Caenorhabditis elegans: one gene and its partner. The protein of the gene in region 1 interacts with the protein of each later gene in a biochemical or structural test. Each region holds a gene or a part of one and is shown on either strand. Other genes may lie near its edges.

Region 1 (4,839 bases):
GGCCAGAGAGAACGGATCTCTTGAGTTTGTTCACTGAATCACTCGGGAAAGGAAATCCGCCGGCAACGAGAATGTATAGCAACACCCCCATGGACCAGATATCAGCTTTCATGCCGTCGTACGAGTTACCTGCAACGTTGGCTTGGAATAAGAGAAAAAATGGCAAAGTTCTCACAAACCTAATAACAATTCTGGTGCGGCGTAGGGTGGTGATCCGCACCATGTGTTCAAAAGTTGATCGCCGGTTTGAAAATTTGAAAACCCAAAATCTGAAAAAATATAAGAATTCAGCATTCCTTTTCGTGGGTTTCAAACTATAATCTCTTACCAATAATTTTAATGTTCGAATTTTTGCCTAGTAGAATGTTTTCAGCTTTTAAATCTCGATGAACAATTCCTTGCGAATGAAGATATGCAACAGCGGACGCAGTTTCAGAAAACCATTTCCGAGCAACATTTTCCGCTACCCGACCCTTTTCTATCAGTGTCTCTGGAAAAACAACTTTGCCGAATTTTTCCATACACATCATAATTATACCATATAACTCTCCACTGCTACAGTATTCGCTTACAATGTACAACATGTTGTCAACCCTCATTATCTGAAAATAAAGCTATAACATGAGGGATTTGACAATATGAACTCACCTCATAACTTTTAACAATATGCGGGTGATCGATCACTTTTACAATTTTCACTTCTCGTTCCAATTTTATCAGATTTTCTCGGTCTAACGCTGACACATCGATACTCTTGATTGCCACCTGCAATTTGTATGTTTTGCTGCATTATTAAGAGTGAGCATTCCAGAAATGTACATGGAATGAGTATTTGAATTTTACAGTGCACATAGGAAATTCAACAAAAAAAGCCAGTGTGGCATGCTCTCTAAATATTGTTTCATTAAACTTTGTGATAAAATATAGAAATTTTTTTAAGCTGAAAATAGCTATTAATTAATTTGAAGCTACCGAAAAAGTGCTCAAAAATTGTCTCATAGTTAAAAATTTCCGGAAAAAAATTCTAAAATTGTTCAAAACGATTGATTATGTTGGGCCAGGTATTCTGCACAAGTACCTAATTTTTTTGAATTTATATACTCACTCAATAAAAAACTTTAAGATTAATAAAGCGGCACTGGATAAAAAAAAATTTATATCAGAATGAAGTTTCTTGAAGTCTAATGCAAATTGACAACTTTTCAAAAAATGGGATTTTTTCACAAGCTTAGTGTTTTTTATGAACTTTCAAGCATATCTTTGACTGTAACTGTAAAGTTTCAAAACCTTTCTTTTAACTTTTACAATGATATCTAAACGATTCATGACTTTTTGAACCTGAAAAATAAAACCGGACAAACCTTAGTCTTAGCAATCTTGTGCCGCGCTATCCGAACTGTGGCAAAATTGCCTTTGCCAATTGCCCGACCAACATCATACAGGCCTATCTGAAACGAATTGTTTTGTACATAATAATGATGGTACTGTTTCAGTTGTTTTCCTTCTTTTCGCCTTCTGTACAAAACACTTTCCACTATTCACTATATTAGCAATATTTGTTCTTGTGAATGAGAATCGTTCAACCAGGCGGACGCACGTTTTGCTCTTAACCCCCATATGCGGAGCGCGTGCAGACTGACGAACAAAAAACCAAATCCAATTATAATCGACAACAATACATTTTGACTCATTCTCTCCCATCATTATGAACATCACCACCGCAATTTGAAGGGTTGCTAGTCAGGCAAAATATCTATTCGAATACAAGTTTGTCAAACTTTGATCATGCAAACAGTCCTACTATCACTTCGAATTAAATCAATTGGCTACGTGAAATGATTGTGTAATATGCTGTTTTACCACATTTTCCATCAATGAAAGTTCAATAACATCGGTTTAAGTTGTGTTTTGGCAGAATCGAAATTGCAACACTCTTCGTCAAGGAAATTTTGAATTTTTAAGAAAATAAACTTTTTACGTTTTACGGTTTATCTGCACTTTGTTTCCATAGTAATTCGAATGCAATGGAGAATCTTAAATTTAGAAAATGTGGGAAAGATTTTTTATGCAACTGCATAATCGCATCGGAAACCAACTAACATGAAAGGAAGTAATGATTTTTTTTCCAAAAAAAAAACTACGCAGGTTTTTTTATGGAACATTGTTTTAAAGGTGGAGTAGCGCCAGTGGAGAATTTGTTAAAAACCTTTTTTTATCGACAACTTCCAAAAAGTGGCGAAAACTGGGATTTTTTCCAATTTTCAAAAAATCATAAAATTCAACTTTTTTAAAAATGTTTTTAACTGTTATTTGATTACTGTGGTGTGGTGAGATAGCAATTTTTTAAATTCACAACTGACGCTACTCCACTTTTAATCTATTTTATTTTTTTAACTTCTTGCTAAAAACGTTGCATGACGTAAAGCGGTCAAAAATGCTGTGCAAAAATTTGTCGGACGAAAAAAAAAGAAAAACTCTCAAGCATCCATCTTTATGTTCTGCCGTTAAACTCTCGGCGCTCGTTGATTTATTGCCGACTGTCGAACGGATGCGTGGGAATTTGCTTGGGCATTAAACGATAAAATCAGAAAAAGACTGTTCTATGGCGGGAAACAAAAACGACAAAACGCACCTTCTCACGGTAGATTGCGCAATGTTTTTACATACATATTTTATGTAAATTGTGTGACCTTAAATGAATGGGGAGAAAAAATAAAGTGCAATCGCACGCCGAACAAGTCAATTAACTAGGCACCATTCAATTAAGTGTGGGTGTTTTGTGTGTGTGGGGAAGGGAAATTGAGAACAAAGAATGGAACAGAGAGAAGAACACCCACCTTTTCAAGGCCCATACGCCGCCGTGGCGCAGCCATTGCAGTGTTGGTGTGGCGGCGCCTGAATGCGACAAGATAGTGTCGTAAGTTAAAACAGAGAGTGCATAGAGTTTTACCACCAGACGCACATATACATACATACACGCTCTCACTCACCCACTCACTCACTAACGCTCATTGCCGCCGCCTCCGCCGCCGCCTCGGCGTCTCTTCTTCTCTCACGCTCGCCTTCCAATACACTCAATAACGCTCACCGCCATGGCGCGCTCGCACACAATTCCTATTCGCTTTCTTTCCCGCACTGTGTTTCTCGATTTTCCGCGCCGCTTTTTTCCCATCTTCTCCCACCATCCTCTCTCTCACTCTCACACTTTGGACTAAGGCAGCGGGGGGCCCGCACACACGCACACACACACAAACAGACACACATACACAGGAAAAACGCACCCGTCCAGCGACCACTGTCTCTTTTTCTCAATGTCTCGGATTTGCGTCTCTCTCTTTCTCCACGCGTGCCCGGGTCCCGTTAAGAACTCTCGTCGCTTCTTGCTGATCTCTCACACTGACTCATACAATGCCTTGAGGAGCTCAACCGGGCGGCGGAGATCGCACTGCTTGAGCAAGTTCAAGAAAATAAACTTTTAAACCACCAACAAATTAATTCACGTAGTTTTTATAATGATAAAAATCATTCAGCATTTGTATATGAGCATTGTAATAAATTTCAAATTATAGTCACTTGACTTATATGTGTATATGTTATAAAAAAGTTGATTGATAGTTAGGACTCTAAAATAAAAAATGCCAATGGAACTATAACTTTTCCAATTAAAAATACTTGAAATTAAAAACATTGAAGGATTCAAGTTTGATCCGTTCTTCAAGCACCACGTGGTGTTAGATTGTCCCATTTTGGTTTGCTTTATGTAGATCTACAAAAAATGCGGGAGGTGAGACGCAGAGTTCTCGTCAAATTTTTAAAGGCAAAAAATTCCCGCATTTTTTGTAGATCAAACCCTGATGGCACAGCCACACACCACGTGAAGCGCCATGCACCGCGCATCTGAAAGTCAAGTACACTGCCCGGTGGTACTCCCACTAGGCTTTATTTTAAGCCACGTCCAAGCCAGTGACTGTGGCCAATATTTTCCGTTAAGGTTGTGGGAACCTAAAGGGAGGCAGGACTTGTATTTCTCATGATTGCTACCGTCCTACCACCTGAGCATTTCCTGTAAGTTATCATGGTAACAAAAATGCAAAAAAAAAACAAAAAAGCGAAAGGTTCAGCAATTCAATGTGAACTATGTCATAAATTTCAAAATATCTACATATAGTAACCTGATTTATTTGTGTGTATATCATGAATAAAGTTGAATGATTGATAGCACGCTAGATTAAAACATTAAAACACGTCCATGGTCTGAAAAAAAGTAAGAGGTGTTACAGTAATAGTACAATCAACATTAAATGACAAAATTAAACCCTTTTTAACATAATCGGGAAGTGAAACAAAAACAAACAAAAAATTGAAAAAAAAATGTATCAAATGAAAGTGTGGTAGTTTTGATGAAGATCTGTGATGATGAAGAAGTTTCACTCGCCTTTGTAGAGTATCCACATCCGCGGAGTCTCCACGTATGCTGTAATTAAAATTCAATTTTAAAAATTCTGTCATTCGTTTTTCAGTGATACCTGTCGGCTCATCTGCTGCCAGGTAGCCTCCGTGCTCTTCATACACGTGATGTTTCATCTCGGGGTATTCCGCGTGACGTTCGTGACAAATCGCGCAAACATATCCATGCTCATCTCTCTTGTGTTCCTGGAATCAATATAATTAAAAGTTCATATAAGGGTATTCATGACAAAAGGGCAGGCACCAGGATATAATCTGATCTCATTGTGAGTCCTCGATTTCATCGCCGTAATAACATTGATTTTTCTTTTTTGTTTTTCTTCTTTTTTACATGTATGTTAATCCTATCTCAGAGCACCCCTTCAAAAAAAA
Region 2 (4,685 bases), about 14 Mb from region 1:
TCCAAAATCAGAATATTACGTTCAAATCGAAATATACCCTTTGAGGATTTTTTTCAAATGTTTTATCATAAACCATACATTTTGCAAGTAACTTTTCGTCGTGCCGATTTGTTTCTGATCTTTAGAAATTGATAATTTTAATGTTGATAAAAATTATATTTTACTTCTCTTCAAATCAGTTTCTGAAAACTAGAATCGAGAATTGATCGTTTCTTTTCACGGCGGATTCTGTGTCTCATTTCTCCAATTGGAATTGAATAGCTAACATAATGCGGACTCTTTCTCTGTCAGCATCAAAAAGTTTCTTTATATCTTCTCCTTTCTTTGGTCTTTCCCCCACTTTTTTTTCCGCAGCCCAATTCTCATTCCAACTTCTGATGTTGAATTTTGCATTGTGGTTGCTAGTTTCCAATTTTTACCTTTTTCTTGTTTTGCTAGAGTACATCTATGACGTACTTCGTCATAAATTACTGATGAGAGCTTCTGCGTCCGTTCAACACCTCCGCATTCCGGTGGTGAAATGAGATATTCTGCAAAAAGTAATTGAATATGAAATTTATAAACAATTAGGTTTTGAGGGGAAACTTTTGCTTCGGTTATTTGATTTCGGAAGGGGTAGACGATCTGTTCAAAGGTTTGTAAAATCATTGGACATTTTCGAGCAAAATTTAGAGTAAATCGGTGCATATTTTCTGAAAGTACAACAACCAAAAGTTCAAATTGATCTAACGGAGTATATAATTTGCTTTCACTGTTAGAGCTCAGTTTTTTTAACCAAAAATTACATTTCAAATGTTTATTTAGCGCCAAAGGATAATTCTGAACATTTTCAGTGCATCTTTCCAGTTTATTCGATTCCCTAAAAACCTGAAAAAAGTGACATTTTCCAAAAACAATTCAAATTAAATAAATTTATGCAAGTATTCAAAATGATTTTTATGTTTAGAAAACAATCATTTGTTGACGGTTTTTTGAAAAAAAACCATTTTTTAAAAGATTTGTTTCCTGTGTCCCACTAGAATGTTGAAAAAATAAGTTGTGTGATGAGCCAGAAAAGTAACAGAAGCTGAAGAGACCCCGACTTTTGCTCCTTTCCGACGACTCTTTTCATTTTTAAACTCTGTCGCGGGTGGTCTTTTCATCTTCCGAGGTAGCATTGTTTTGAAAACTTGCTTTAACACCATTTTTCTCCCATTCTTTTCACACCTTGCTCTGCACAAAACTCTTTGTTTTTTGTTTTTTTTTTGATTTTGGCTTGTTTCAGTCTTTGAGATTTTTATCTCTGTTCTAGTCTTCCATATGTGTAAAAAATATACAAACACAGAGGCTACGAGGCTATCAATAAATGATACCAGCTGTTATTATATCATTTCTTCTTGAAACCGGAGCTTCCTTTACACAATGCCGCAAATTCTTAGTTTCTACTTTCACACCTATCATGTTTTGAAAGGGCTTTTTTTGAAAATTGTTATACATAATAAATATTGCAACATCTCTCCTTCAAACATTTTAATTTTTTAATAACTTAACATACATTTATTTTTAATATAAGTGTATTGAACCTTCGAACATAAATTTTCAAACTAGAGTATATGCCAATTTATTTTCATAATTATATTCTGGCATCATCTATAACTCGGATCATTTTTAATATTGTTTCCATTTTTGCAGGCGTATGGAAGAAGCCAGCTCCTCAACGGGGAGCGCTGGTGGGGCTGGACCAAGTGTTCCCAACTTGCCATCAACATCAGAAGCTGCCATAGGACAGACGAATCTTGAGCCGGAAAGTATTGCTCTTCTTCAATCACAGCTTCAGGTGAGTCTATTTTTTTTATTGTATAACTTTCTAATCTGGATCTAACTTCTAGCATCAGTCAATTTTTGGCAAAAGTTTGTTATTTTTATTTAGCATCACAGTCTTTATTTTTAAGATTCATTTTTTGTAGATTCACCATAAATTCTATAAATGTTTTTTGAAAATTAAAAAAAATCAGAAATTGATTGGCTAGTTTTTGATTAAAAAAGTTGTGAAGAACTTGATAAACTTTGTTATTAAGTCTCTAAATAGTTGAAAATATTTTTTAAAAAACCTTGGCTAATATGACCGAATTGTTTTTTTTTTCAAAAAATAAAAGGAAAATAAAAAGAAATCTACATCCAATTAAACCGTTATCATCTTTAAAAACTGAAAAAAAATTTGTAATAAAATGAATGCGAATTTTCTAGATTTTTTGATGATTTTTTTTTGCAATTTTGAACAGAATAAAATAAAACTCGAACTTAGAGTTAGTATGTTTAGTTCACAGTAAAACAGCTGAAAATTTGGCAAACAATATTGCAAAAAAAAAACAACTAAATATTACCGGAAAATGCCTGATTTGCGCTAGGAATTTTAAACTAGTTAATTCATTCAAATAATTTTTTGCAAAATTGGAATCAAAAACTTTAAAAAATATATTAGGTCATTATGGCCCATTTTCTTAAATCTAAAAGAAAATCCCAATTGACTTTACCGTTAGCTTTGTATGTTCTACATAGCATCATAGCTCAAGTATTACGTATCGTTCCAAAATACATTCCCATCAGATGAGTGTATTTTCAGCTAGAAATAGTCCAATGACACACCCACTCTCTCTCTCTCTCTCTCATGCCTTTTTTTCTCTCTAAAAACGGGCGAAATGAAAGATAGGAGAAGAGGTTATTTCCGGATGTGTCGAAAATAGAAGCCTGGAAAACCTGACGATGTTGTTTGTCGGTGTTTATCGATGAGAAGAGGGGTACATCATGATGAAAGGAGAGAGAAAAAAGAAAAAAATGGAAGAGAAGGGGAAGGAAAAGCAAGAGCTTGAAAATAGTTACATTCTCTACTATTCTGCCTTTTTTCTATTTTTGTCTCCTGTTTTCCCATGTTTCTTGGAAATTTTTTTTCAGAAGGACACCTCTTTGAGTTTGTCGAATTTTAGATCGTTTCAAGGAAACAACTTGAAAAAATGCTCAAATCTCTTTTTTAATATAGATGTTGAATGAAAATTGAATACACGAAATATTTCACTATTTTTGAATTTAAAAAAATGCCTAACCAGTAGATAAAATAGCACTTTTCTTGACGGAAAATTTTCACTGAACTTGGGGGCTCAGATCTTAGAATTTTCATATTCTGCACAAAGTAAACAATATTGATTAATTTTTTTCATGTAAGTTCACAGTTTTTAAAAAAAGAATGTTTTGTACTTTATACTAACGTAGTGTCACAATTTTCCTATATTTTGAAATACTTTGTAGTTCAATGTCTCGTTCAATACTTCATAATAAATTCCTGTCTAGCCCCCTTCTTGGTTCTAGAATTTCAAAAATTCATCATCTTCTACGCACCTTCAAGCAGCCTTATTGCCATTTCAGAGATCAGTTCACGAGACGGCGAGACCAATTTCCGAAGAATTCTTTCCGTGTTGCGCAGAGCCGGTGAATTCCAAGTGAACTGGGACTCTGAGAAAGATCTCTTCATTTATATAAAACGCTGAAAAACACGAGTCCCGCGCTGGATTTTTTTTTCTAGCTAGCTATTTAATACTCGAAAATAGATTATTTTTTCGAATTTTGCCTTCAGTATCTTCCTTGTTAAGTATCATTAAACGGTACTTGTGTATTATATGCCTTTATCCCGAAGTTAAGTAAAATCTCAGTAAATTTCTCCAGTAATAGTTTTTTTAGTATTCTTCCTGTACCTAACACCCCTGCCCAGTAGCTCACCAAAACGTAAAACTACGTATTAATTTAATCTGATTCAATTTTGAAAGATACTATGTATCTACATACTATGACTAATCAAATTTCCAAATTTGATCGTTCAAACTCAACTTGACAGGTTTTTGATCAAGTAGACTAGACTCGCCTAATTAGTTTTTTTTTGTTGTGAAACCCGGTGTCTAGATATCATTTATCTAATGAACTTGATAACTCGTAGAGATAGAACAAGTTATTTTGGTGCAGTTTTTCATTGAAAAACTTCACAATAACGAAGGAATTCTGAAATGTTTTCAACAATTTAGGAAATTTCCACAATTTTGTAAACGAATTTTATTTTTGAAAAAATTTACAAATGTCGTTAAGGACTATTTTAAGTCTCTTCTAGCAATACTAACCTTATAAATTTGCCTGTCGATTGAACTTGACTATAGACTTTTTATGGATTACATTGAAGAGTAAACTATAATATTTTTTCTTTACTTCTTCCCCCGGCTCTCTCAGAATTTATCTATTTACAAAAAAGTTACATCTATACACTGACTTGACTCTAGTTTCCTTGTTTTCCAGCACCTCGTTTATATTTTTGTTTCTCGATAAAAGTGCATCGAACAAAAAACAAGATCTTTTGGCGACAAGTAATCCAAGTACTTCTGACCTCATTTAGCAGTGGTGACACTCATTTTTCTCGCCTCGTCAAAACATGATCGACCTCATGTGATAGAGGAAGCGATTTTGAGACATCAAGTAGCGGCAAAAAAAGCACATGCTTTTCGCCCCACTACTTTCTACTTTTTTTTTCTTCTTTCCGCTCCCAATTTTTTTCTTACTTCTTCTCATTCTCACACTCCAAAACACAAAGCTGATATCCCTCGACTTCTACACTACATATAAATGTTGTGTGTTTCCAACTCTCTCTCTATCTTCCTTTATCTCTGTGC

The links. Proteins that work in one complex are often made in the same cells at the same time.
Region 2: of the proteins of kin-29 (region 1) and hda-4, one has a biochemical effect on the other in vitro, tested with the Caenorhabditis elegans proteins (one study listed by BioGRID).

Annotation. Positions count from the first base shown.
Region 1 is NC_003284.9:2,849,515-2,854,353, forward strand, and holds the start of kin-29 (Serine/threonine-protein kinase kin-29), read right to left. Parts: upstream 3,007-4,839; 5' UTR 2,874-3,006; coding exon 2,838-2,873; intron 1,449-2,837; coding exon 1,362-1,448; intron 766-1,361; coding exon 649-765; intron 603-648; coding exon 539-602; intron 491-538; coding exon 329-490; intron 270-328; coding exon 180-269; intron 130-179; coding exon 1-129. Other genes in the region: Zinc finger protein tra-4, read right to left, coding at 4,428-4,474, 4,527-4,653. UniProt on the Caenorhabditis elegans protein: Regulates chemoreceptor expression by phosphorylating the hda-4 class II histone deacetylase (HDAC) and inhibiting the gene repression functions of hda-4 and the mef-2 transcription factor, enabling the correct sensing and transduction of food signals.
Region 2 is NC_003284.9:16,727,888-16,732,572, forward strand, and holds the start of hda-4 (Histone deacetylase 4), read left to right. Parts: upstream 1-1,671; 5' UTR 1,672-1,675; coding exon 1,676-1,816; intron 1,817-2,680; exon of another isoform or gene 2,681-2,813; intron 2,814-4,685. UniProt on the Caenorhabditis elegans protein: Responsible for the deacetylation of lysine residues on the N-terminal part of the core histones (H2A, H2B, H3 and H4).